7 linked regions of the Neurospora crassa OR74A genome follow. The protein of the gene in region 1 interacts with the protein of each later gene in a biochemical or structural test. Links are inferred from orthologs where the notes say so. Each region holds a gene or a part of one and is shown in the gene's direction. Other genes may lie near its edges.

Evidence for each region.
Region 2: of the proteins of ubi (region 1) and NCU09866, one has a biochemical effect on the other in vitro, tested with the Saccharomyces cerevisiae proteins (3 studies listed by BioGRID, with this or other methods). The link is inferred for Neurospora crassa OR74A from reciprocal best matches to the Saccharomyces cerevisiae genes UBI4 and UFD4.
Region 3: the proteins of ubi (region 1) and mus-8 form a complex in vitro, tested with the Saccharomyces cerevisiae proteins (2 studies listed by BioGRID, with this or other methods). The link is inferred for Neurospora crassa OR74A from reciprocal best matches to the Saccharomyces cerevisiae genes UBI4 and RAD6.
Region 4: the proteins of ubi (region 1) and NCU00621 form a complex in vitro, tested with the Saccharomyces cerevisiae proteins (2 studies listed by BioGRID). The link is inferred for Neurospora crassa OR74A from reciprocal best matches to the Saccharomyces cerevisiae genes UBI4 and KOG1.
Region 5: the proteins of ubi (region 1) and rad23 form a complex in vitro, tested with the Saccharomyces cerevisiae proteins (14 studies listed by BioGRID, with this or other methods). The link is inferred for Neurospora crassa OR74A from reciprocal best matches to the Saccharomyces cerevisiae genes UBI4 and RAD23.
Region 6: the proteins of ubi (region 1) and polh are reported together in a solved structure, tested with the Saccharomyces cerevisiae proteins (2 studies listed by BioGRID, with this or other methods). The link is inferred for Neurospora crassa OR74A from reciprocal best matches to the Saccharomyces cerevisiae genes UBI4 and RAD30.
Region 7: the proteins of ubi (region 1) and rpt-1 form a complex in vitro, tested with the Saccharomyces cerevisiae proteins (2 studies listed by BioGRID). The link is inferred for Neurospora crassa OR74A from reciprocal best matches to the Saccharomyces cerevisiae genes UBI4 and RPT1.

Annotation. Positions count from the first base shown.
Region 1 is NC_026506.1:3,143,847-3,147,843, forward strand, and holds ubi (ubiquitin), read left to right. Parts: upstream 1-1,197; 5' UTR 1,198-1,472; intron 1,473-1,540; 5' UTR 1,541-2,197; coding exon 2,198-2,219; intron 2,220-2,289; coding exon 2,290-3,185; 3' UTR 3,186-3,737; downstream 3,738-3,997. UniProt on the Saccharomyces cerevisiae protein: Ubiquitin exists either covalently attached to another protein, or free (unanchored).
Region 2 is NC_026506.1:2,771,752-2,775,004, forward strand, and holds part of NCU09866 (thyroid hormone receptor interactor 12), read left to right. Parts: coding exon 1-3,253. UniProt on the Saccharomyces cerevisiae protein: E3 ubiquitin-protein ligase which accepts ubiquitin from an E2 ubiquitin-conjugating enzyme in the form of a thioester and then directly transfers the ubiquitin to targeted substrates.
Region 3 is NC_026504.1:1,993,974-1,997,622, forward strand, and holds mus-8 (mus-8), read left to right. Parts: upstream 1-1,434; 5' UTR 1,435-1,757; coding exon 1,758-1,799; intron 1,800-1,890; coding exon 1,891-1,955; intron 1,956-2,038; coding exon 2,039-2,263; intron 2,264-2,336; coding exon 2,337-2,460; 3' UTR 2,461-3,149; downstream 3,150-3,649. Other genes in the region: NCU09732 (acetyl-CoA acetyltransferase), read right to left, coding at 15-164. UniProt on the Saccharomyces cerevisiae protein: E2 ubiquitin-conjugating enzyme that accepts ubiquitin from the ubiquitin-activating enzyme E1 and transfers it to a E3 ubiquitin-protein ligase.
Region 4 is NC_026501.1:7,805,790-7,809,879, forward strand, and holds the start of NCU00621 (TORC1 growth control complex subunit Kog1), read left to right. Parts: upstream 1-1,290; 5' UTR 1,291-2,008; coding exon 2,009-2,596; intron 2,597-2,654; coding exon 2,655-4,090. UniProt on the Saccharomyces cerevisiae protein: Component of TORC1, which regulates multiple cellular processes to control cell growth in response to environmental signals. Nutrient limitation and environmental stress signals cause inactivation of TORC1.
Region 5 is NC_026503.1:4,431,844-4,435,795, reverse strand, and holds rad23 (rad23-like protein), read left to right. Parts: upstream 1-1,152; 5' UTR 1,153-1,575; coding exon 1,576-1,593; intron 1,594-1,823; coding exon 1,824-1,871; intron 1,872-2,052; coding exon 2,053-2,125; intron 2,126-2,188; coding exon 2,189-2,268; intron 2,269-2,330; coding exon 2,331-2,675; intron 2,676-2,735; coding exon 2,736-3,323; 3' UTR 3,324-3,823; downstream 3,824-3,952. UniProt on the Saccharomyces cerevisiae protein: Plays a central role both in proteasomal degradation of misfolded proteins and DNA repair.
Region 6 is NC_026501.1:1,955,564-1,959,780, reverse strand, and holds the start of polh (sister chromatid cohesion protein Eso1), read left to right. Parts: upstream 1-1,417; 5' UTR 1,418-1,663; coding exon 1,664-1,890; intron 1,891-1,952; coding exon 1,953-3,744; 3' UTR 3,745-4,217. Other genes in the region: NCU16343 (hypothetical protein), read right to left, coding at 237-575. UniProt on the Saccharomyces cerevisiae protein: DNA polymerase specifically involved in DNA repair. Plays an important role in translesion synthesis, where the normal high fidelity DNA polymerases cannot proceed and DNA synthesis stalls. Plays an important role in the repair of UV-induced pyrimidine dimers.
Region 7 is NC_026501.1:8,944,359-8,948,526, reverse strand, and holds rpt-1 (26S protease regulatory subunit 7), read left to right. Parts: upstream 1-1,368; 5' UTR 1,369-1,935; coding exon 1,936-1,938; intron 1,939-2,002; coding exon 2,003-2,094; intron 2,095-2,165; coding exon 2,166-2,280; intron 2,281-2,357; coding exon 2,358-3,467; 3' UTR 3,468-3,725; downstream 3,726-4,168. Other genes in the region: NCU02839 (T-complex protein 1), read right to left, coding at 1-127, 234-889, 964-1,015, 1,129-1,179. UniProt on the Saccharomyces cerevisiae protein: The 26S proteasome is involved in the ATP-dependent degradation of ubiquitinated proteins. The regulatory (or ATPase) complex confers ATP dependency and substrate specificity to the 26S complex.

The DNA of each region.
Region 1 (3,997 bases):
GTTGGTTCTGGATGAGTGGAAAAATGCATTCCAACTCTTACGATAGAGCCTAGGCCAGACGAGTACATAAGTACTCAAGATCAATGAGTGAGAAGGATTGCGAACGGCAACCAGGCACCTGCATTGAACTTGGTTCACTACACGCATTGACAATAAAAAGTATCATGTACACCAATCTGATGACGTTCAGGGTTGTCATTTGATCATGGGATGTCACAACCCGAGCCGAATGGGTGTATTGAACGGACCGTAAGGACGATTCCCGCATTTGCGAAGACGGGAGTTGTAGGCGTGACTGCGCGGGAGTCCCCGGGATCCCGTGCAGGAGGTGATGCCGGCCCCGGTCTCACCCGAGGTGGTTGGCAGGCCTAGTAGCGGGCAGGGCGGAACTCGTCACTTGGCTCCAGGAGTTTGTGATGTTGTGCTGCACAGCTTACCTCCCTCTACTGTACATATTACACTCGTGCGTAAAGGACCCAGCATTCTGATCGATGATGGTAACTCGCGATACTATGGATCATGCGTGAACGGAGGCTAGAGACCGTCAATAGCGGAGCGACCCTCCTAAAGTGCGGGGCGGTGGAGCCAAGAAAGAGGCCACGATAATGCTGGGCGATAACGGGAGGAACGGAGTCACGACATCATCGGTCGGGGGCTGGTGGGAACCCTTATGGCCAGGCACTGCAGTCAGGAGGTCTCCCATCTGTCACCGGTCTTGAATCCTTACCGGCGTCAACAGCCACGGTCGGTCGGAAAGCCGATAGAAAAGCGAAAGAGAATACCTGGTAATAGCTCCCCGTTCCCGTCCGGTTCAGTTGTCGGTGTCCCGCCATGAACACGGAGAACTAACGAAGCTCATCGTCGCACCAGACGGAGCGCTTACCTCAGCAGCCTTTGCAAAGGTCGGTGGAAGAACCAACCGTGAGTCCGTGACACCAGCTGAGCATTCTGTGGTTTACAGTGCCAGCTGACTCGCCCCTTTACTGTCTGGAGCTGAAACGATGCCTGGCCGGGATGCACCTCCCGTCCGGTTGTTCTTTCGTTCGACGACCAACACCTCGACCCCTTTGGTGACACTCTTTGTGGTGTTGGTTAAAGACAAAGTCACAGGTCTCTTTGATTTTATATACTCATCTTCATGTCTTCTGGTCATTTCCTCCATTGCTGGAAAATTGCGATCCAACCGTTCACTCTTCCCTGTTTGCCTCTCGGTGCCCTCGATCGGACCACGTCATTGACCGCTCACTTCGTTGGGGGGTTCGCTTATCAAATGCGGGGAACCAGCAAGGTGCACGTCGGTATTCCATGATGCCAGCTGGACTGCTGCTGTGTGAAGCATCGAGCAAGAGGCCATCAACAACCTGATAGAGGGAACAATTATAATAACATGGAGAGAAGCTTGTCAAGATGCTGGCAAAGTAACGAGAAGTCGAGATGGCACTCTCGGATTTGTAAACAACTGAAACTCGAAGGTCCGTCGTCCAGCCACATGCAGATCATTCTTTGGCTTATTCATCCAGAGAGAACCTAACTGAAGCAGGGCAAACAGCCCGGCTGAGGTGACTGACGCATTGACGGGCAAACGGCTGGGTGAGTGCCCGCCACTGCAGAAGGCGTTGACAGTGCGATCAATCAGCCGCGGTCACTGTTGGGGGGGATGTCCAACCACTCCTGCCAACGGGCAACAGCCAACAGTCAAGGGGGAAACTGTCGTCTGACTGGCTTCTTCTCGCGCCTTCCCTCCACTTCTCTGTCACTCCCAACCGCCAAGTGGCTTGTGCGTGGCCTGTCAGTGAAGGTGAGTGACACACCACTCACACCGTGGCAGGCGTTGCAAACGGACCAGTGACGATCGACTTGGGACCTGGCACCTTTCCGCTTCCACTCCAGTCCCGTCACCTCTTCCCCTTCACTCAGCCCCCCCGCTTCGCTTCCCTTTCCAGGCAGTGGAAGCCTGGCCCCTCCAAGTTCGCCATCCTGATTCCTGCCACTTCCGCCGCAGCCAGCACCTGAACCTACTTATTTAATCCTCCCCGCCCATCTGCATCCCCGATTCCATTTCTTCCGCTTTCACCATCTCTCTCCATCGCCATCATCGCAGGAGTGTTCATCCACGCACATATCATTCCCGCCACTCGATTCTAGTCATTTCGCTTCATCCATCAACAGTCCATTCGTCCACTGCACAACCCCCATCATGCAGATTTTCGTCAAGACTTGTAAGTTATCGCACGCTCACCGCATCATCACTTTACCATCGATCGACCGATGCTAACTATCTCTTCGCAGTGACCGGCAAGACCATCACCCTCGAGGTCGAGTCGTCGGATACCATTGACAATGTCAAGCAAAAGATTCAGGACAAGGAGGGCATTCCCCCCGACCAGCAGCGCTTGATTTTTGCCGGCAAGCAGTTGGAGGATGGCCGCACCCTTTCCGACTACAACATCCAGAAGGAGTCTACCCTCCACCTTGTCCTCCGCCTGCGCGGTGGTATGCAAATCTTCGTCAAGACTCTTACCGGCAAGACCATCACCCTTGAGGTGGAATCGTCCGACACTATCGACAACGTCAAGCAAAAGATCCAAGACAAGGAGGGCATTCCTCCCGATCAGCAGCGTCTCATTTTCGCCGGCAAGCAGCTTGAAGACGGCCGCACTTTGAGCGACTACAACATTCAGAAGGAGTCTACCCTTCATCTCGTTCTTCGTCTACGCGGTGGTATGCAGATTTTCGTTAAGACGCTTACCGGCAAGACGATTACTCTCGAGGTTGAGTCTTCCGACACCATCGACAACGTAAAGCAAAAGATCCAGGACAAGGAGGGTATCCCACCTGATCAGCAGCGTCTCATTTTCGCTGGAAAGCAGCTCGAGGATGGTCGCACCCTCTCCGACTACAACATTCAGAAGGAGAGCACCCTGCACTTGGTGCTCCGTCTTCGTGGTGGTATGCAGATTTTCGTCAAGACCTTGACGGGCAAGACGATTACGCTGGAAGTCGAGTCTTCGGATACGATTGATAACGTGAAGCAAAAGATCCAGGACAAGGAGGGTATCCCGCCTGACCAGCAGCGTCTGATCTTTGCTGGTAAGCAGTTGGAGGATGGCCGGACCCTCTCTGATTACAACATTCAGAAGGAGAGCACTCTTCACTTGGTGCTGCGCCTCCGTGGCGGCCAGTAAGCGGATTGTCGTCTTTGTTTCTGATTCTTGATGACGAGCAAGGGTTCATTTGGGCGTTCAGCGTTTATTGGGTTACTTATTGCATCCATGGGTTGGGAAATGATGACAACCATGAAACAGGGCATATCTAGCCGAATCTAATGGCACACGCTTCATACATACAGCGATGCCATAATAAAGACTATATTTACGGTCTCAAACATGATGTCTCTTGGTGATTTGCTTGTGTCTCAATTCGTGAGCTTTTGTTATTCCCGTCAACCTGTCATCTGGTCAATTGGGGATGGAGTCGGACGTGTAAGTCAAGATGGTGGTGCAGTGGGTTGGTACACACCGTGCGAGGTGACCGTTGCGTGGCCGAAAGTGGCGCCCTTTTTTGGTGGACAAGATGCATCATACGTGAAAGATACGTACCGACCGCCGAGTTCAGTTCGCGCTAGTCCGGCCGTGGAGCCCTCCCTCCCCCCCTGTGAAGGACGATCCAACGTCCAACGTCCAACGTCAAGTTCGTAGTTGTGGAAGGTTGAATGTGAAGAGGACATCCGGAAGGACCTCTCATCCTCTCTAATCACCAGGGCAAGAACCATCACTGCATGGAGTTTGGGCACACATGAACCTGCAGAGATAGGCATCGGCGACTTGATTGACGTAAGGCCCGCGTCCAAGGTGTCTTAATCGACTCTTCATCTTCTTGATCCTTCTCTGTCCTTCTCTTGCTCTTCCACTCTTACAGTCAACGCAATACTCTCAATATTACACTTTCATCAGATTTTTCATCAAAGCATTGTTGTTTCTCGACCATCACAACAAGG
Region 2 (3,253 bases), about 370 kb from region 1:
GCCACCTCCCCCTCCGAAGGAGAGTCCTCCCACCGATAGTGACGAGCACGACGAGGATGATGAAGACGACGATGACCACCATCGTTACGACGACGATGATGACGATGAAGATGACGATCCCTTCACTGGTTTTGGTGGTCATGGGCGTCATCCCCACAGCCTTCAGGATACACTGAGGCATCTGAGTGGAATTATGTCGGGAGTCTCGGCTCAGGTGCGGAAAATAATGGCAGATCTGAAGCGGAAGGACGACCCGTCAATGCAACTTATGGCCCTGCATGAACTATCCACCCTTCTGCTCATGACAAACGAAGATCAACTGAGCGGGCATCTCCAACCCGACCAGGTTGTGCCTGAACTGGTAGCGCTGATGAGACCTAACGAGATTACTGGAGAGGAGAACCCTGAAATCCAACTTGTCGCCTGTCGTTGCCTCGCGAACCTGATGGAGGCCCTGCCGGGAAGCACATCGGCCTTGGTCTATGGGGGCGCAGTCCATATTCTGTGCGAGAAACTGCTACAGATCTCCTTCATCGACCTAGCCGAGCAAGCACTTAGCACTTTGGAAAAAATCTCTGTGGAATATCCCACAAGCGTCATGCGCGAAGGCGGCTTGACTGCCTGCCTGACTTATTTGGACTTTTTCGCAACCAGCACGCAACGCTCCGCTGTTACCACGGCTGCGAACTGCTGTCGCAACATCCCGGAAGATTCCTTTCCGGAAATTTTAGGTGTCATGCCCATCCTGTTGAACGTGCTTGGGAGTAGCGATCAGCGCATCGTTGAGCAGGCCTCGTTATGTGTCTCGCGCATTGCCGAGAGTTTCAAGTACCACCCGACAAAGTTGGAAGAGCTTATGAATGTGGATTTGCTCAAGGCCATTCTCCGTTTGCTACTTCCAGGCTCCACCAACCTGATCAGCCCGCACATTCACACTCAGTTCCTACGGGTTCTTGCGCTCACGGCAATGGCGAGTCCCCGTCTGTCGGCTGAACTCTTCAAGCTCAATGTAGTGGAGACGCTTTATCAGATCCTTACGGGCGTGTCCCCGCCGAGTGGGAACGACGACCTTGCTTCCAAGCTTGATAGTGTGCTCATAATGCAGGCTCTGATTCATAGACCTCGGGACCAGATCATTGAGACACTCAACGTCATTTGCGAACTGCTGCCTAGCGTGCCATTGCGCGACCCTTCGTCGATCAATTATACCGTGGAATTGGGCACGTTTGCAGGTCCTGTGGGTGGATCTGGGGAGAGCACTAGGAGAAGGACTGCAAACGAAAAACGTATCGAACACATGGAGGGCTGCAAGGAGGAGGTTCGGAGATTCGCCCTGATTCTATTCCCAACCCTCACGGATGCCTTTTCAAGCACCGTCAATCTCACTGTCCGTCAAAAGGTCTTGGCCGCTCAGCTCAAAATGCTCTCCAACTTGGACCAGGACATCCTGTCTGAGGCACTCAGATCAGTCCCTTATGCTTCTTTTCTGGCCTCCATTTTGTCCCAGCAAGACCATCCTCTGTTGGTTGGGCTGGCATTACAGGCCACTGAGTTGCTCATGAGTCGCTTGGATACAGTCTATCGCTATCAGCTTTACCGTGAAGGCGTGATTGCCGAAATCACCAAGCTGGCAGCTGATGCGCCTGAGCCAAAGAGAAAACACTCTCTTACCGAGCAAGAGGTCAAGGAGGAAACGAACCAAGCTGGGGAATCTCTCACCGGTGTCTCTGGCCGTCCCTCTGCACCTGACCAAGGTGTCGCCGACAAAGAACACCCAAAAACCTTGGAAGAGGACAAAGCAGATGACGAGGATGTTGAACACTCCGAACATGAATCCGGGGCTGAAGAGGGCGGTGAAGAACTCGATGAAGATGAGCCGGAAGACACAGAGAATGACGAGAACGACGAGAACGATGATGGAAATGAAAACGAGGTCAAGGACGACGATCAATCACCCGTCAGCTCCGAAGGAGAGACCATGTCACTGGACGGACCCCCGCGATACCTTTCAGATTTCCCCACAAACACGTACAAGTCGAGCATCCGGCAGGCTGCAAAGAAGTTCTTGGAGATGTATGAGACCGAGAAGCAGGGCAAAGCCATGAAGAAAAAGGCCAGCAAGATTCTAGCCAGCCTATCAGATCTTGCAACCGAGATCGAAGAGTTTTATCTCTGCCGTAAACCGGGTGGTCCGGTCATGGAGCACGGAACATTACTTTTTCAAAAGCTGGTCTCTTATTTCGATACTGACGTCCTCGAGAGCGTAACCAGTGCGGAACTTCTTGGCTCTGGAGTTGTTCGGGTCTTGGAACAGGTTTTCAGCAACCCCGACGAGGAGATGGCAGCTGCAGCACAAAATGCGTTCTTGCAGGTGTTCATGGGATACAGTGTCAAGTCGAAGCCCAAGACAGCCACCGCAGACTCACCCGCAACACCTTTCAGTGTCTTGATCCACAAGTTGCAAGATTTACTGAGCAGGTCTGAGCATTTTGAGGTGATCACAGCTCACCACAACTCATTCGACGGGAGCCGTAGCACGGCAGCGTCAATGTTGGCTAAGCAGATACGCCTCAAGCTTGTGGCCGATGAAGATTCAGATATCCCCCGGTCCTACCGTAACATCATGGTGTCAATTCACGCTATCACGACCTTCAAGTCACTGGACGATTATTTGCGCCCCAGAATTAGCTTGTCGGATCGTCCTCACGGAGCCTCTAGGCGAGATGCTGTGACTAGAGCTCTGGCCGCCATGGGTGCCTCGGGCTTCATGGGGGCGGCAGCAGCGGCAGCCCGTCTCGCGGAGAGAGGATTGCCACCCTCCAGCCGATCGACCCCTGCACCACCGCCGGCGGCTGCCCCTGCTCAAGCATCTGGTTCGCGGTCTTCACGCAAGCCCAAATCCAAGTCCCAACCCACTACCGAAACTCCGACGACGCCAGACGCCGCTACATCCAAGGAAAAGGGTGGCTTGCGACGCTCCGCTCGTAAGCAAGCTGCATCTGATAGCTCTCTCCCACGTCAACCTCCGGAGGAGGACGACCTTGAAAATGCGCTTGAATGTGCCGACGAAAGGCAATTGTCGGATGATGAAGACGAGGCAGCCGATAGTAGCGATCTCAACGTACTGCGTGATTTAGATGAAGGCATGGACGATGCTCCCACCCCCGACCCGACAGCTGTGAACATGGAAGTGGCCGCCGGCGGCAGGATTACCGCGCGCAAAGAGGACGGGACCAGAGTTGCCACTCCGGGC
Region 3 (3,649 bases), on another chromosome or scaffold:
ACGGAGCGCTTTACCTTGGCCGTTGGTGTCCTCACACCACTGAGAATGTAGGCATCCTGAATCTGCTGGCGGAGAGCAGACTGGGTGGAAAAAAGACGAGCGCAAGCGACACGGGAAGTGCGCGAAGCCGAGCCAGCGGCTGTCCTGGCGTGGCTAAGAACCATTCTGATGTCGGAAGCTGGTGACGATGAGTTACAGGACGTAGGGGCGGTACTGCACAGCGCAGATGTCGGAGGGGAATCTGGCGAGAAGGAAGAAAGGAAGATGGCCGAACGGGGAATGAACAACAGCACAACAGGAGAGGCAACACAAAAACAGGAGCAGGAAATAATTGGGAGTAGGGACAGAATCACAGGGAAGACTTTCTTCTATTGTTTAAAAATGATTAATAAAACTACCAGTTGGGGAGGCGATAGCTAGGTGGTCTCTTCCTCTCCTTCCCGCTTTCTTTTCCTCGGAACTTGTCAGATGCCATGATGGCACCGGTCGGCTTGTGACGGTACATGTGTGGAGAGGATTCACACCAAAGCGATGCTTCACCCCGCCAATTGAGCGCCAAACAGTGGCCGCCACCGTGGTTCCTCCGCGGGGACCCCAACGGGCGCAAGGGACACAGAAGCTTGGTATCCGGGGTTTCCCGTGGAGCCTGCCGCTGACCGACAGGGGAAGCTCCTCATCCACAACAACTGAAGAATGCCCTGCTTGGGTCATGAGCCCATGAGTGCCGTACCCACGGGCGGATGGAGAAACATCAGATGGAGCCAGAGTTGAAGCCGTAGCGGAGGGGAAACGGTCAACGGATCGATTCGGGGGTGGATGCTCTCCAAGCAGTTCATTCACTCTTTCCGCAGCCTCCTGTTGCCCAGCGCCGGCATCATACCTAGCTGTACCGGATACTGCCCGCATAAAATCAGGGATCAAAAGGCCAGGGCACTGCACGCTCAAGAGTCGTTTCGCATCACTTAACAATCTATCCCAGTCGCGGTTGTCCCTGCAATTGCCATCCCGCGCGCGTCTTTGGATGTTGGGCAGAAGCGAACCACTTTACACGCGGGAACAAAAGCCGAGCTTCCCAACGCGATATGTTTGAGATGTTGCGTTGGTTCCAAGCAACGATCCTATTGCGGCGTTGAAGTGTTTTCGGGCAGCTGCCGGGGGATGCCACAGGAGACAGCTTGATCAAATCACTGATTCAACCCGAACAATTGGCTGTCATGCTACAATTTCTGATGTTTTCTTGGGATTCATTTGTCAGTTCGATTAGTTAGATGTTTGGCTGGACAACCATTCGGCGGTGGCGTGAGAGAAGGTGTGTGACTGTGTGATCCCATTCCATCAGCTGGCAGTCACCTCGCGCACGAGCCACCAGTCGCTTCATACCCAAGTGTAATTGGCCGAGAATCAGAAAAGTGCTATTAACAATCCGGCGGCAATTGTCAACCGGGGCAGTCACTGTTCATTGCCCCTGCCCTCGGCGCGCGTTCTCCTAGCTTCTTTGTGACGCCCCCCTCCGGGCAATCAGTTGGGTATGATAAGATAGCGGTCGTTAATGCGCGTTCACTTGTTGGCTCTGCTGGTTTCCGTCATTCATCTCCGCCCCTTCAAATCAGTTCGTTTGATTGTCTCTTCGCTATTCCAACCACGAAACCCATCTCGACTTCGAACAAAGTATCGCATCGATCCTACGTACTCCATCAACCTTGTAGCTTTCTCTCCATACGCCTGGGCCGACTTCATCATCCATCACCAAAGCCAAAATGTCAACCGCTGCCCGCCGCCGGCTCATGCGAGACTTCAAGGTGCGAGACATCATGAGCCACCCCGTTGGGTTCACACCGCTTGATGACTTGGCCGCCATGAGCACAATATACTCACCATGTTCCTCGACAGCGCATGCAAACCGATCCTCCCGCTGGTGTTTCCGCCTCTCCCGTACCCGATAATGTTATGACATGGTAAGGAGAACGATCTTTGCTGCGGTGTCGTTATGGGCGGTCGACCCCCGGCATGGCAATGACTGACATGAGTCTCCATATAGGAACGCCGTGATCATCGGACCCGCCGATACGCCCTTCGAAGATGGCACCTTCCGCCTGGTGATGCACTTTGAGGAGCAGTATCCCAATAAGCCTCCTTCGGTCAAGTTCATCAGCGAGATGTTCCACCCCAATGTTTACGCCACTGGCGAACTTTGTCTCGATATCCTTCAGAACCGCTGGAGTCCTACGTACGACGTCGCGGCTGTTCTTACCAGTATTCAGAGGTACGACTGCATAATATCTTGTTGACGTTCATTTTGCGTTGTGTTATTATGCTGACAAAACTGTCTTGACTAGTTTGCTCAATGACCCGAACACAGGATCGCCTGCAAACGTCGAAGCCTCCAATCTATACAAGGACAACCGCAAAGAATACCACAAGAGGGTCCGGGAAACTGTTGAGAAGAGCTGGGAGGATTGAATAGTGACGACATTTATCACCACGGGGCCCTCAATGGCAAAAAGCCAATGATTGATCTGGGTGCTGCAAGTCGGTGTTGATATTGCTCACTGGGCTGTTCGATACAGATCTCTTGGCTATATCAACAGTCAGTTGTCGACCGACGACGAGTTGCGAGATGATCCACATTCGAGGATACCCGGCGGTTTGGCCTTTTAGGGCGTGAGGGTGGAACGGATGTCGTGATATTACATTGCATTTGGGAGGCGTCGTTCTTTCGGGGCGTTTTTGTTGTATTTCAAATATCCGCATCTCTCGCCTATTGATGGCTGAGAGTCAGCCTGCTTGTCTGCAATGGAGAGAGCGGGAGTGCTTGGTTTTTCTCACTCTTTAGGGCGATTGTCGGGTTTGGAGTTTAGGCGCTCGTATCATACCAACACAAGCACATCTGGCGAGGGCAGTCCCTGGATACCTCAACTCACCCCAAAAAGCCCTAGATAGCGTTCTTTTCTTTTGTCTTAGAGATGAAGAGATGGCATAGTGTCTTTCATTGCAAAAAGCTCACCATGTTATGTCGGCCGGCTTAGATGTACGAGTTTCCAGAGAGTCTTGCATTTCTCAGCTTTCCTCTGTTTCTTTGACGAAAGTGTACATGACCCCGCTTGGTGCCTTACATCCACATGATTTATATCACCTATACCTAAGGCTGAGAGTCAAGTCTAGCGTGCACATTTCGAACTGCGGCGTTGTTTAATACACGCTCACGTTAACAGGCATACCTTGGATGCAAGGGTCCCTGTGAGAGTGAAAGACAGGCTGACTACCTCTATCGTAAATGCCCAGAAAACGCAGGGTTAAAGGGCTGTCAGATGCTTTTGGCGGCCGTCAGAGAGCATTAGTGTACGTGGCTTCCGAACACTTTTAACCCTGCAATCTGGAAACAAGGTTCTCAAGTCTGTATGGTACGTCCTGGTCCGACTTACCCAGCTCTACATGGCTCTTTTGGAAGACTTCTCATAACTTGCATAGGTACGATTTTATGTTGTAGGACTGACGCTTTGCGTATGATCTGCATGAGGGGTGAGGTTGTTTATATATTGTGGGTAGCTGAACTTGGCTAGGCTCCTCTACCTACAGCGAGCGGTAGCCTCTTGAAAGCTCGAATTGACAACGTAGAGAGGTATCTTGAAAATTGATTGCAAGTTACCCA
Region 4 (4,090 bases), on another chromosome or scaffold:
AGAAGGTGACTTCCCGTGTCCGTATCGATGTGAATGGGTTGGTCGGATGTCGTGACAGAATGCAGAAACTCGTTTGGACTTGTTCGGAGCAGGTGTCCTCGGGGTGGCCGGCTCCCGTTCCGGACGTTTTCACGTGAAGTTCCCGCTCCGCGGCAAAGGGCCGAAGCGCACAGACCCCTTGCTCAGCGATCCCCAATGGCCGGGGCTCCACCCCCGATATTTTTTGAAATTGGAGTTCATGCAAAAGCACGATCAATGCAACTCGAACCTTTTTTTCCCACAGCCAACAAATCCAAGGTAGATTATGTTGAATATTCAGGTGTGAATGCCACTGCAGCCCATCCCATCGTGTTAAACCATCCTAGGATACGGAACGAAGTAGTCAATATCAAGACACAAGCAGGTGAGCAGGAACAACAGGAAGGCTTCGGCATCTGCCGGCGACATCATGCACGACTATCGATATCTAGCAAATACCATGGAAGCGTGGCTTGCGGTCGAGTGAGCTTCGCCGATTTTGTGTTGAGAGGGCTCATAGGACAACTGATGCATATGGCTCGATGGTTGAAAACGTGCCAATAGAGAGGAGATTTCCATGTTCGCAAAGCTTGACAAACTGATGATAATCCGTCCTGCACAGTCAGTATATGTAGAAGTGATTGGCTAACGACGGGAATCGGATCCAGACCGAGGCGACGCATGGATTTGTGAGATCCTCGAAGCAGGCCTCGAGTCAAGTCAACGAACCGTTTCTTAACTCGGGCAATATCGATAATGAATGAAAAGTCCCACGGAGAATGGCAACGTTGCGGCGCAAGGAATGCAGCTTAGCGTACTTGTACCAACGAGGGGGGTGAGGCTGAAAGCATGGACCACCATGTGCACTGACTGCATCATCATGTGCGTTCAGTGCCTCCTTCTGTGGTGACACCGTGATGGTTCGGGCGGTACAATACCTCCGCTGGGCTTATTTGTATGCGGGAGATGCCAAGAAGGCCTTCAGCCTGCCTACCTACCTAGTACACTACCTCTAGTACCTAGGTACAGACGTACCGTACAGGTCACCCTTCACTGTTTTCACTCTACCTTGAGGTTGAATACTTGAGGTACGACTAGTAGTGTAGTGTAGCATCCGAGAAACGGGCACTCCCCGCAGTCCTCCCCTCTGGACAGGAAGCCTTGGCACCCAGAAACCCCCAAGTAGCGTATGGCTGATGGGCAGCGCATCCACATCCACACGTCTGTGCTCCACGGCCCGCATCAACCCACCACCACCACCCGCACCCACCACGACAACACACAGGCAAGGAAGCGGTTCCCTCTGCCGACATCATCACGGCCGGCATTGCCAGTTCAAAGCAGTAGGAGTTGCGTGTAGTTTCGTATTGCCCAAGTCTCACCAACTGCTATTGCGATATCCTCGGTATACCAAGTAGTGGAAACACAGGCAATTTGCTGGCAGTGACAATTGGTAGGCTCTGGTTACACAAGCGGAAGCGCATTTCACCCACTGCAGTGGGAATCTACGTCTATAACCCGCACGCAGCTGCCTCTGATAAAAGTCTAGCTAGATTGACTGACCCAATCCCATCTCTCAAACCTACAGCGCAAAGACCGGCATCATCCAACGAAAGTCACGACGGCACTACTACTGCCACCAAACTACTACCACCAGGCTACCTTGGTCAGATACGCATCATCTTCGTTACAGCCGACGGTCAATCGCACGCTTGCCCCACGCGCATCCGAACCTCTGCGTTTCCCTAGCCTTCAGATCGGTCCCCTCCTCTGCAGGAAATACAGCTCTGGTTGTGCCGCCTGATATAGCGCATCTACCTGGGCCGCCGACATCACCTCCAAGTCACCGTACGCTCGCTGTTTTACAGACTTCAGTTGTTACACCGCTGCTCTGTTCTCGACTCATCGCCTACCCGGCCTCGTCGCGGCCTTGAAAACCCGACTCTACCCTCCGAGGACCATGACCTTCGCTCTCGTCTAGTCGCGTACCATGACTGCTGTTTCTCTTCACGCCTCCCACCCCGGCTCCGCAGAATTTGGCCAGAGACAGCCCTCTGCTCCCACTCCCACCTCTGGCCGTTACGCGAGGCCCGGCTTTCCGTCATCAACTGCTACATCACCATCCCGCCACACAATGAACAACCCAGCTCGTCAAAGTTCAGTCACAATGTCACAAGTCCATCCTCAGAGGCCAGAAGACGGCAACCAGCGCGTCGCGACAAACGGGACCTCTCATCCTGCTGCCCATAACCAGCTGCCACTTCGATCCAACATACAGAGACGCATGTCCGATTCCTCACCAGCGCCCTTGTTTCGACGCCCCTCCAGCGCCCCCGACGACAATAACCAAACATCTCCTGGAACCACGTTGCATGGCGGGCAATCTGATGACGACGACCATATGCCTGTCGCCCGGCCGGCCAAGGCGCCATTAACGCGGTCTAAGAGCGAATACGGACTGCGGTTGGAGAGGGAAAGCCCCATCGAACAAGTTGACGAAGAGTACCATGATTGGGGTGCCAGGCATGGGTTCGAGGACCATTATCAGTCTGAAGAAGTCATTTCTCAGCTTGCAAATGTACGTTGATTTGTGTCTCTGCCGTTGGCTGGGGTGTCACTAACCGTGCGCTGAGCAGAGCTGGTACATGTACTTTACCGATAAGCGACATGAGACAACAGGGAAGCCAAAGACACCCGCTTTCGAGATCCAAGACTGGCGTATGCGCGATCGCCTAAAAACAGTTTCTGCTGCGATAGCAGTATGCTTGAACATAGGAGTGGAACCGCCAGATCAACTTCGCACCACCCCGGGTGCCCGGCTTGAAGCTTGGCAAGATCCGACGGTGCCTCCTGTTTCCAAGGCACTGGAGAATATTGGGAAAGCTTTGCAATCTCAATATGAGACCCTTGCTATTCGGACGCGCTACAAGCAGTATTTAGACCCGTCCATCGAAGAAACCAAGCGGTTCAGTGTCTCCCTCCGAAGAAGTGCCAAGGACGAGCGTGTGCTCTTCCATTACAATGGGCATGGAGTGCCCAAGCCAACAGCCTCGGGAGAGATCTGGGTTTTCAACAAGAACTACACGCAGTATATCCCCGTCTCTCTCTACGACCTTCAGCAATGGTTGCAGGCGCCCACGATATATGTGTGGGATTGCTCCGAGGCTGGCAATATCCTCACCAATTACCACCGTTTTGTTGAGAAGCACGAGCAAGAAGAAGAGGAGGCGGCACAACGGGACCCAAACCACGAAAAGATTAACTTCCGTCCCTACATCCATCTGGCAGCCTGCAACGTCAAGGAGAATCTGCCAACCAACCCCGACCTGCCTGCTGATCTCTTCACTTGCTGCTTGACTACCCCTATAGAGATGGCACTCTGGTTCTTCTGTCTGCAAAATCCGCTAAAAACCAAAATATCTCCTGAGCGAGCCAAGAAGCTGCCAGGGCGGCTTCAGGAGCGCCGGACGCCTCTCGGAGAGCTCAACTGGATTTTCACTGCCATCACAGATACCATTGCATGGACCACGCTACCACGCCATCTCTTCCGCAAATTTTTTAGGCAAGATTTGATGGTTGCCGCTCTTTTCCGAAACTTTCTCCTCGCACAGCGTATCATGCCTGTGTACAACTGCCATCCCCAGTCGTATCCAGAGTTGCCAGATACACGTCAGCATCCCCTTTGGGAGAGCTGGGACTTGGCCGTCGATCTGGCTCTTGCCCAGTTGCCGGCCCTCGAGAGAAAGGAGAGTGAAGGGATAGAGTATGAGTACATCAACTCGTCATTCTTCGCGGAGCAGCTCACAGCATTCGAGATCTACTTGACTCGAGGGGATGCTTTGTCCCAGAAGCCACCTGACCAGCTTCCAGTGGTTCTGCAAGTGTTGCTAAGTCAGCAGCATCGAGTACGAGCTCTGGTCCTACTAGCAAGGTTCTTGGACCTTGGCCCTTGGGCAGTACAACTGGCGCTCAGCATTGGCATCTTCCCGTACGTCTTGAAGCTCCTCCAGTCGGCGGCACAAGACCTAAAGCCAGTCATGGTGTTCATCTGGACTCGCGTTCTTGCGGTCGA
Region 5 (3,952 bases), on another chromosome or scaffold:
TTTGTATTTTTCATATCTTGGGGGAGGGGAGGAGGATTTTGTTTTGAGGACGTGAATATGATACCTTTGATTGCGAGGCGTTGGACTTGAGTTCCATACCTAAAGATGGGTCTTGGATAGGTGGGATTTGTGTATAGAAAAGCTCGGCTATGGTTGGATAGAAGGATGGCTAGATGATGGATGGATTCAGATAGATGCTTCTCTGCGCTATGCGCGAGACGGACGACTGAAAGATGTAGCGGATGAGAACCGAAGAAGTCAGAACAAAAGATCGTGCCCACGAAATATGCGCGGTGACATTGAGCTGTGATTTTCCATCTAAGCTATGATGCTTAGACGTCCGACCATGACTGCGATGGAGATGTAGGTAGCTTGGAAGCTTGGGAATGGTGATGAGAGAAACCAGAATAAAACGATGTCTGGCTCAAATCATGTTTGCTGCCTTGAAAAGTAACCCCAATGCTACCGTTCCGTCGTTTTTGCGATGATAACCGAAGGGAAGGTTACTCGTAGTCAATTCAATGTCACGATCCACGTCGGGTCACGAACGTGACGGAGGCCTTATCTTATCTGGTGCTCTTTCCAAGGGAGCCTACCAATGCGTATGATTGGTACAGATGGAAGGTGTTCTTCAGCCCCATTTTATACGCGCTTATGAGTGGAGATCTATTACCTAGTATTGCCGTGACACTGCCATAATCAGCGATGACTTCATCTTCTTCATCGCAAAAAAAATTCAAATAGAATAAAAAGAGATGAAAGAAGATGGGTCCTTTGGATTGGCTCACAGCATGACATCAAACATTCCCCTTTGATTTTGCATCAACTTCCATCGCCAACGGAAGCATGTGGTTATCAGTTCAGTGACATTCAAAAGCAAGACTAACAAAGAAAACCAATTCATGTTTTTCAACGCAACAAGGCCAACACAACCTGGAAAGTGAATGGATCCATGGGATCAATCAGTCTGTGTTGTGTGTACAGACGGACGGGATGGCAGCGTGACGACTGTGACCTCTCCACCAGCTCCAGGCGGCAAGATGCCGCGCAGCCCCCCCCGCCTAACAATGGCCGCTGCCTTGTGCCTGTCCACTGCACTTTGCCTGCCGCTTCCCCCCAGCCATTCACTGCCGTAGGTAGCACACCGTGAACCTGGCTACCCGCCTGCTGTGCCCCTCTTCCATTCAGTGCACTCAGGTGAAGCGAACAAACCCCAAATTCTCCGCCTCAAAGCTGCCTCATCAGTCATCACAAGCCGCTGTAAAACGTTCAAGCTTCCCTGCTACCTTCCATATTTCTTGCCACAGCGATTACAACTATCTCCTCCCCTGTATGCCACCTCGCCATCTCTGCGGCAGCCTTCCCACACACATCAACCTTACCACAGCAACCAACTAACCACTTCCACTTTTTTTCCTCGTCCTCGCCCAACTCCGCCGACTGCAACAAATCTTGCTGTCTCCCATCGCGACTCGGAACCCAACGAAGCTCGCCCGTCCGGACAGACTTTACTTACATCATCAGACTCTCAGTGTCAACGTAGCAGCCGTTTAGCTGCGTCGCAGATTGCCCATCATGAAGGTTACTTTCAAGGTACGTGCCCATAAGCTTGCCCATGTCGAGTGTTTGACGTAGCCAGCCAGCCAGCCAGCCAGGCAGACAACGAGCCAGACGTACCGCGATGGCTTCTCAGCAAATTCGGAAACAACCCAGCGTCTTCTTTGAATCCTGTCTGCCTGGTTGGATCAGAGCTCGCTCCCTCTGTCCATAAGCTCTCAAAGTCTATATAGTCAAATACTAACAATGACTGTTCGTTCATCTAGGACCTCAAACAACAAAAGTTTACGCTCGAGATCGAGCCTACCGAGACTGTTGGTTACCCTTCGTCGCCTCCCATTTCCTTACACCCTTTACCTCAGGCCGACGTCATGGAGACATCCAACACGCCGTGACAGCCCTCGACAATCGAATGCTCTGTCGGCGTCGCGAGCCTCCCATGTCGCTTCGGGAGACGTGCATGATGCTGGCGAGCTAGAAGCTAACCGGTTGCAGATTTCCAAGGTCAAGCAGAAGATCTCCGAGGAGAGGGGCTGGGCTCCCGAGCTGCAGAAGCTTATCTACTCCGGTAAGCATCGCTTGCTTCTCAAACGATGGATACCGCTCCCGAATACTGACTTTACCCCAACAGGTAAGATCTTGAAGGATGAGGAGACCGTCGAGTCGTACAAGATCGAGGAGAAGGGCTTCGTTGTCTGCGTCGTGAACAAGGTACTATTTCCCCCGTTATTACTCACGTCCTTGTACAAAGATGAAGCTGACACTTTGCGCAGCCCAAGACCACTGCCCCCAAGCCAGCCGAGTCGTCGTCGTCTGCCGCTGCCCCCGCTACCCCCGCTGCCGCCGCCCCGGCCTCAACACCTGCTCCCCCTGCCGCTCCCGCGGCCTCCAGCGCTGCTGCCGCTGCCCCTTCGACGCCGACGCCCGCTAGAACCGCTGCGGCTCCTGAGGCGGCCCCAGCTGCCGGTGCTCGCGATGCCAACGCCCTTGCCATGGGCGAGCAGCGCGCCGAGGCCATTGCCAACATGGAGGCTATGGGTTTCGAGCGTTCGCAGATTGACGCTGCTATGCGTGCCGCCTTTTTCAACCCCGAGCGCGCTGTGGAGTATCTCTTGAACGTACGTTTCACAACTCATTCCACTTTCCGATCTATGTCTGGTTTACTGACACAGCTTTAGGGTATTCCCGCCAACCTCCAGCAACAAACTGCCTCTCGCCAGCCTTCTGCCGCTCCGGCTGCTGCCCCTGCTGCTGCCGCTCAGGCGGCTTCCCCCGCTGCTGCCGGTGGTGATGATGACGATCAAGTCAACCTTTTCGACCTTGCCGCTCAGCTCGGCAACAGCGCTGGCGGACGTGGTGCTCGTGGTGCGGAGGGTGCTGGTGCCGAGGCCGCTGGTCTTGGTAACCTCGACTTCCTCCGCAACAACGCGCAATTCCAGCAAATGCGTCAGCTTGTACAGGAGCAGCCCCAGATGCTGGAGCCTATCTTGCAACAGCTCGGTGCCGGCAACCCTCAGCTTGCCCAGATGATCGCCCAGAACTCGGATCAGTTCCTGAACCTCCTTGGCGAGGGTGGTGAGGGTGGCTCTGTCGGTATTGCTGTCACAGAAGAGGAACGCGATGCCATTGAGCGTCTCACCCGCCTGGGCTTTCCCCAGGACCAGGCCATCCAGGCCTACTTCGCTTGCGACAAGGACGAGGAGCTTGCCGCCAACTTCCTTTTCGATCAAGGACCGGAGGAAGATGACGACATGCCCCAACAATAAATAGGGGTGAGACTGTAGGCTGGAATGAGATATTTTTGGGTTTTTCGTAACTGGGCGTTAAAAGTCGTTGGCAGGGTGGATTTTCGTTAGCAGCTGCCTTTGCATTTGAAATGTGGGCGACGGCTGGATGGTTTGGGCTTGCTTAGGATGCATTGGAGACTTTATGATGACATTATACCTTAGGGAGCTCAAAATGCTCAACACTGCTGATCAACGTTCACATGCAATATACGGGTGGGCTTTGTGTGTCTGATCTATCCACTGCGCGACAGGTTTCGACGAGTTTTAGTAAGGAAGCATCAAGAGTGAATGGGGTGATGACACTGAAAAAAATGCTTCGCGGAGATCTAGATCAAGGATAACTACAGAGGTGTGGTGTTTTCACAGCTTACGAATCACTCTATTCTTTATGTACTCTATAGTCCTGTCCCTTGAAGAGTGAACGAAGCATTCCCATCACGAACCATAACCAGCAATGAAAACGAAGATAAGATCCGAGACCATGAAACCGTCCGCATACAAGTAGTATGATCAAGAACCCTTTTTTTTTGTGTGTCTCCATTTGTTTTTCCCTTCCCTATTTCCATACCTAACTAAGTGCCCCTCCGGTTGATGGGTATATAAAACCT
Region 6 (4,217 bases), on another chromosome or scaffold:
TTAGATACTTTAATGCTGGCTTACGGTCGGCACTCATGTATGGTGTCGAACTGCTATTTCTCCGGGTATGAGCAGGTAGTGTTTCGAGGCTCTTTCTTCCTTTCACCAACGAAGTCAGGTACTATTTCTATACAACTTCCCAGCATGTTCCCCTTTGTGGTAACCTCTTCAGTGACTTTACCCTCTCCATCCACACGAAACTTTTTTTTCGAGCCGGCCGAGCACAGTCCTTGTTACTACCCATATCCTGAAAAAGTGGAAGTTCGATAGCGTTGAACGTAAAGGTCAGAAGCATGGCGCTTGTTGCAATTGCAATCATGCAGTGCCGCTGCTTGATTCCTACCTAACCGACTCCAATATGGTAAGCCCTGCGTACTTGATCTCAATAGCGTGACGCAACTCCAGTGGAACTCTGAGAGACCAACATGGACTGACAGGATGTGGACGGAACCGAAGGAAATCCGAGTGCAATCTGAAGGACGAGTGATAACCGATGATAACAGAAAATGATGCATCGTGCGAACTGGTAGTATCGTAGGGTTCATTGCATCGTATAACCCCCACGTGTGGAACATATGGTAACTCAGTATGTATGCAGGTGGTGAGTTGTCATTTGGGTTCAAGTTCCCGATTCTCAGGTTGCGTAGAGAGTATCGGAGGAGACCATTTGGCTGTAGTATCTCGTTCGTTCTTTCTCCAGGGCAGGACTAAAGTCGCTCGTCGAACGTGTGATGGACCATGCGCATTTGCTTGTAGACGATTGTATGTTCAAAGCACATACTTCTAGCCGCGACTTCGGCACAATATAACTGGTTGAGAACCCTGTCGTCGTGATGCCGTGAGGTGGTGTTGATATGTGATGGTAGCCCAGGACTTCGAGTTTTCCAAGACTAGAGCAGTCGGCAAGGTGCCTAGGTATCCCCGCGCGCAAGTCCCTACACTACATTAGATATCTCGAACGCAACATCGATAGCATCCGTTCATGTAACCCCCCTTCCCCCCTGCCCCCGCCCGCGCCTTACTAGGCGATGTAGGCATTGGCGTGTTTGGGCAGAATACGGGCTGTATTGTGGACCGTTCGTTCTGCCACATCAACTTCAGGTCAGGTGTACATGTCTAGCGTATCTCGCATATGCGGGAAGGGGCCCTTTTGGACTGAAGGGTTAGGCTAAAACGCGGGATGACTTCGCGGCTCTGCATTTCAGTTCGATGATGATTTACCGCCTCCAGAGGTACATAGCTATGTAACTGGAGTTGGCACAGCAGAGTCGTGACCTGCAGGGTGGGACTCCCGCACGTGGGGATCTCATCACTGATAGGCGCGGATGTATCTATCGAGTTACCCGCTGTGGGGGACCTCCCGGCTCGAACTTCCTCCGATCCTGTCAGCTTCCAAACAGTTTCCACAGGGCAGTCTGGACACTGGACTACGCGGCAGTTCCCACCTTACCTTAGCGCGCTTTTGCTCCGTTCGACGTGACTTCGGCACTCTCACAACCACCCGTCGCGACGCCGTCTTCATGCGCCTCCGTCACCGATGAACGTCTCTCGGCCATCCGCGATCACCACGACTCTGATTGCCGTAGCCGGCCCGTCTTCATAGCCCGCCCGACCGAATGAAAATGACGACACCCTTGGCTTTAGATTCCGCCCATACGCTGCCATGTCGTCACCGCCCCATATGCAGTCCTTTCGCGACTTGTCTCCCGCGGGCGCTCCCGGCATGAAGCGTTCACGGTTCACGTATCGTCACATCCAGCAACTCGCTGCCTCGAGTACTTCGTGTCCGCTCAGGGTCATTGCTCACCTGGATCTCGATTGCTTCTACGCTCAGGTAGAAATGGTGCGACTAGGGATACCAGACGACAAGCCCGTTGCCGTTCAGCAATGGTAAACCCAGTCTCCAAATGTGCCTATTGGGCATTCTCTGACGTCAAACTGACCTTGTATAGGCAGGGATTGATTGCAGTCAACTATCCTGCTCGTAGCTTTGGCATCGGCCGGCATTGCAACGTGTCGGAAGCAAAAAAGCTCTGCCCGGATCTTATACATCAACACGTTGCAACATGGAGAGAAGGCGATGCCAAGTGGGATTACCACCCGGATGCCGCGGCCAACATGGCGACGCACAAAGTGTCCTTAGACCCTTACCGACTTGAATCCCGTAAGATTCTGGCTATCATCAAAGAAGAACTCCCACCTCATCTTCAAAAGGTGGAGAAAGCGAGCATCGATGAGGTGTTTATGGACCTCTCGGCACAAGTGCACACTATCCTGCTCGAACGTTTTCCCGAGCTTGCCAACCCTCCCCCATACGATGACCCGACCGAGATGCTACCCATGCCATCCATCACCGCTCTCGACTGGCAGGCTGATGCGCTGGTAGACCTGCCAGACGAAAACGCTGAACTTGAGGATCCGGACTGGGACGACGTGGCTATTCTTATAGGCTCAGAAATTGTGCGCAAGGTGCGGATAGCCATCAAAGATAAGCTTGGATACACGTGCTCCGCAGGTGTAGCCTGTAATAAGCTGTTGAGCAAGTTGGGCTCGGCTTACCGAAAGCCCAACCAACAGACGGTGCTTCGGAATCGTTCAATTCAGCATTTTCTGTCCGACTTCAAGTTCACAAAGATGCGGAACCTTGGCGGCAAGCTGGGCGAACAAATCAGTCAGATGTTTCACACAGACACGGTCAAAGACTTGCTCAGCGCTTCGGTGGAGCAGCTAAAATCGAAGCTAGGCGATGACACAGGCGTCTGGGTCTACAACACCGTGCGTGGGATCGATACCAGCGAGGTAAACCCGCGCGTCCAAATCAAGTCGATGCTGTCGGCCAAGTCCTTTCGTCCTAGTATAACCTCCTTCGAGCAGGCTGTCAGATGGCTGCGCATTTTTGCCGCTGACATTTTTTCCCGGTTGGTCGAAGAAGGTGTTTTGGAAAATAAGCGGAGGCCTAAGACCATCAATCTCCATCACCGTCACGGCACTCAAACCCGGTCACGTCAGGGTCCTATCCCTCAAGGCCGTAAGCTCGACGAAGAGAGTTTGCTAGAGCTGGCCAGGAACTTGTTAAGCCAGATTGTTTCCGAGGGTCAGGTTTGGCCATGTTCCAACCTCAGCCTTAGCGTTGGAGGATTTGAGGATGGTGTCACTGGAAACATGGGCATTGGCGCTTTCTTGTTGAAGGGCGAGGAGGCTCAGGCAAGCAAGACGGGGTCAGGGACAGCGACGGTTGACTCTGAAACCGAGATCCGCCCGGCAGAGAAGCGAAGGCGCCTGGATAACGGCGGGATAGAACGATTTTTCGCAAAGAGAGAGTTATCCCACGGTGCTAATCCTGGGTTGGGCTCCGACGATACGGCCATCAGTGGTCAAAGCGGTCAAAGGTTGGGCACCCTGAAAGAGGAGGTCATGTCAGGTGAGCCGGCCGGTTCAGAGGGGGTGGGCAAAGGCGATGAGGTATATAACGGGAAGTCTGAATCAGAACCCGGCCCAATCATCACATTGACGTGCTCGCGATGCAACGCCAGCCTCGATAGCCCCGAGGAACTGCAAAGCCATCAGGACTGGCATTTTGCCAAAGAGCTCCAAGAACAAGAACGTGTCAGCCAGACATTCGTCAATCAGCCATCAGCGTCTAGCTCGCGTGCCGGCAATCAAAAATCCACAAGCACGATGCCGAAGCGACAAGGTAGACCTAAGAAGGTCGAGCGCGGGCAAAGCAAACTCAAGTTCGGTTGAACAGGCTATCGCGATTTTCATGACACGATGCCCTGAAAACGGCAAAGTGACATGAGCGCACAGGTGGAGAATTCAATGCATGAATCCACAACACGACGCTTGATATCAAAAGGTGCCTCTGACCAAGCTATTCAAGATTGCACATGCAGTCTTTGTGGAGGACGGTTTGCTCTTCAGATTCGCTGCAGGTGTTCGTCTTCAGCTGCGCGACGGGATTGACTACGGCATCTCACCAAAGTCTGCGTTCTGGCGGTGACCGAGAATCCAGGGACAAACCAATCAATGCTTGGACAGATCCACGATGCCCTTCTGGCATTTAATGGGTGGTAACGGGTCGGCAGTCTCACTTCCGAAAATCTCGTGAAGCACATTTTGCTACATGGCAGCCGAATCTATGGGGAGGCTATCAAGCTCCTATACTTGTTGGAACGCCCTCTGGAAGATAAAACTTCAATCTGCGCGCAATGAGTTGA
Region 7 (4,168 bases), on another chromosome or scaffold:
TCTGGATGAAGAGGACGTTGCACTTGGCTTTCTTGATCTTCTTGACCATGTTGAGGAGGTAGGTGCGCTCTTCCTTGACGATCTTGTCCATCTGGCGGTAGTCGTTTACGGAGATGGTGTTTTCCATCTGTAAGAGTGAGTTGTTAGTAAAAGCACGAAAAGGGTAGTGTTTGGGCGATTTAGGGCCAGCAGGCAAGGTGGGTAGGTTATGGTCGCCAGAAAGGTATACGCACATCAGGCTTGGGAGGGCTGAGCTGGAACTGAATAAGACCGATCCTGGCCTTCTCCATCCTGACGGGACCACCAGCGCTCTTGATGACGGGCTGTGTAAGGACGAGACCATCAACCAGCTCGCTGTCCTCGATCGTACCGCCGACCTTCTTGATTATGCGGATGTTCTTGAGGTCGACATTCTCGGCGGTCTTGAGATCTATCGTCTTGGTGACTGCGTTGACGGCCATGGGGCCGAGGAGGTTGGAGTATTGTGACACGATCTTGGAGGAGAGCGAAGTGTTGGCGGCCTGGAGGAGCGAGGCGGTATCTGTGAGGGAGATGGGTTGCGACATGTCGTGGAGGACGTCTACGGCAGCGGCGGCGGCTCTTTGGAAAGCTTCGGAGATGACTGAGGGGTGGATGCCCTTGCCTAGTAGCCTGTCGGCGGCACCGAGCAAGCTACCGCAAAGGACGACGACCGAGGTTGTGCCATCACCGGCCTCGACATCTTGGGCGTGCGACAGCTGGACGAGCATCTTGGCTGTGGGGTGCATGACCGACATGCTCTTCAACATTGTGCTGCCGTCGTTGGTGATGATGGTCTCCCCCTTTCCAGTCATGATCATCTTGTCCATACCCCGCGGTCCCAGCGACGTTCTGACGGCATCGGCGACGGCTGGTGCATGTCTCTGTGTCAGCACCCCAGACAACAACGACACAAGACGGAATGACAAAATGTTGTAGGCATACCTCTGGCGGCGACAATGTTGGATGAGCGAACGGCGATGGGCTTCTCCTTGTCCTGTTTACATGGTGGGCTATCAGCAACTGGCTTGCCACAGAGCTTCACCCCTCCTCCTGGAGCTTTCGCACCGACTCCTATCGAGGGGTCAGGTTCCAAAAAGCGGGACGCACCCTGAAAGTCGCATTGCTCGCCGTCTGGGTAGCTGCCGGTGCGGTCGCCATGGTGCAAGCTTGTTTGATCTGGTATTTGGGATTATGGGAGATAGTAGACGGGAGGTCGGATGGGGGGATCAGAAACTGCCGGAAATTCGAGTTGACAGTTTTGGGGAATCGGCTTGCGCTGGGTGCAGTGCAGTTGTTGTGTTGTAAGGCAGAGCTCTCCTCTTCTCCTTCTTTGCTGGTCTGGAATCAATGGGCCAAAAACACACACACACACCGTCCCCTCCGTACCAATGTTTCCACTGCGGGACCGTAAAGTGAGTGCTGGCGCGGGCGCAAAGGTGGGCTGGCAGGTGGTAATTTTTTGTCGGCTGCTTTTTGCTGAGCGGTGGGCGGTGGAAAAGGTACCTGCGGCGCTGTAACTTTACACAGTCTAACCGGATAGGGTTAGGTAGGTGCTGTCAAGGTGGCACCCACCCGTAGCTCCCTCGCCCGCAAGGCAGCGCATGGATTACGGCAACGATTGAGCTTCGACCCTCTGTCAGTGAGTGGTGGCAGTTGGACCTTGACGAACCATCTCCATCCATCCATCCATCACATCAAGCAAGCACTGAACACCCATCAAACCAACTTGAACCCGACACACCACATCAAACCCGCGCCGAGATCTCTACAACCCCACGAACGACCCACGCCAAACAAGGAATCTCTCGCCCGGAGCCATCGCGACTTTAATTACCGACCCGATCCTTTCGATTACCCACCCTTCTTCGCCTTACCTAGTCCAAACGGGAAGCGTCATTCCCACCCGCCGTCATCATGGTATGCTTGCAGTCGCCCTACCCAAAGGTGCAACGCCACTTTGCACGACTGACACCGGGAATAGCCTTCTGCCACAGGTCAAAACTGGGAGAAGTACAGGAAAACGTTTGGCGACGATGAAGTCGAGGAGAAGAAGATCACTCCCCTCTCAGACGAGTATGTTGCCGCCCAAGAGAGCCCGCCCACCACTACCACCGCAACGGACAAGTCGTCTAACCCCCGTCAAGGGATATTCAGGTCCTCAAGACATACGGCGCCGCGCCCTACGGTGCTGCCATCAAGAAGCTAGAACAGCAAATAAAGGAGAAGCAGCAGAGCGTGGATGAGAAGATTGGCGTCAAGGTATGCTAGTCTTGCGGTGGCTACCCTACAAACCGCGAAGCGCATCTAGCTGACCAGTGATACTTTTTGGTCTACAGGAATCAGATACCGGCCTTGCGCCCCCTCACCTTTGGGATGTGGCAGCCGACCGTCAGCGTATGTCAGAAGAGCAACCGCTTCAGGTAGCGCGGTGCACCAAGATCATCCCTGACGAGAAGGACGAATCGAAGAGCAAGTACGTCATCAACGTCAAGCAGATCGCCAAGTTTGTTGTCCAGCTGGGCGAGCGAGTCAGCCCGACAGATATCGAGGAAGGAATGCGCGTCGGCGTCGACAGAAACAAGTATCAGATTCTCCTTCCGCTACCTCCCAAGATCGATGCGAGCGTTACCATGATGACGGTCGAGGAAAAGCCTGACGTCACATACGGCGATGTCGGTGGTTGCAAGGAACAGGTCGAGAAGCTACGCGAGGTCGTGGAGATGCCCCTCTTGTCGCCAGAGCGGTTCGTCAACCTCGGTATCGATCCCCCCAAGGGCGCCCTGCTATACGGACCTCCCGGCACCGGTAAGACGCTTTGCGCCCGTGCCGTTGCCAACAGGACAGACGCCACCTTTATCCGTGTCATTGGTTCCGAGCTGGTTCAAAAGTACGTCGGTGAGGGTGCCCGCATGGTCCGCGAGCTTTTCGAGATGGCCCGTACTAAGAAGGCTTGCATCATCTTCTTTGACGAAATTGATGCTATTGGTGGAGCCCGGTTCGATGACGGCGCGGGTGGTGATAATGAAGTTCAGCGTACTATGTTGGAGCTCATTACGCAGCTGGATGGTTTCGATGCCCGTGGCAACATTAAGGTTATGTTCGCTACTAACCGTCCTTCCACGCTGGATCCCGCCCTGATGCGTCCCGGACGTATCGACCGCAAAATTGAGTTCTCTCTCCCCGATCTCGAGGGTCGTGCCAACATTCTGCGCATTCATGCCAAGAGCATGTCAGTCGAGCGCGATATCCGATGGGAGCTCATTTCTCGCCTGTGCCCGAACGCGACGGGTGCTGAGTTGCGTAGTGTTTGCACGGAGGCGGGCATGTTCGCCATCCGTGCGCGCAGGAAGGTGGCGTCGGAGAAGGACTTTTTGAGTGCGGTGGACAAGGTCATCAAGGGCAACCTCAAGTTCAACTCTACTGCGGCCTATGCCCAGTACAACTAAACGGGGAGGAAGAAGCGCATCAATAGCGGAATGGGGAGTTTGGGGTTTTTGGTTTGTGTTGAAACCGGAAGTCTAGATGTGTAATAGATGATGAATCAAGAGCGGCTCGAGATGGCACTCATAGCTGGGACTTGGGAGAGTTTGGACCGCCAGATCCCACACAGTAGGCACAATGCAGTAGGCTCTCCTGACAAGCGAAATGAACATACGGGCGGAATGAATAGGTATCATGCCTACTGTTGTTGATGATGAACATGGATTTGAAGCGATTGCATACCTATGTGACAAAATGTGACAGCAAAACTCCATGGCAGACATGGTGAGAATTGTGACGATGAGGTGTTACGACTCCGCCGCCGTGGATATCCAGACTTCCAAAATGGGGAGACGGAGCTGCTCCCGGGATACCCTTGGCAGTGACACCATCCAAGCGAAGCGATAAGGCAAAAAGGCGGGTTACGTTGAACGATAAGGAAGCTGTAGCTCAATCGTGTCGGGTGCCGCCGTCGAGATACCGGAGCACGGAGAGGTCTTGGGGGCAAGTCATGGATGCAAAGGGGGGAAGGAAACAAATGGAAATCAAGCGAAGGGGGAAAAGTTGCAAAAAAATTAGAAACCGTGGTCGCGCTGGGGGTCGAACCCAGGACCTATGCATAACTTCCAATGGCTTGGAGGTATCTAATTGCGTGTGTTAGTATGGG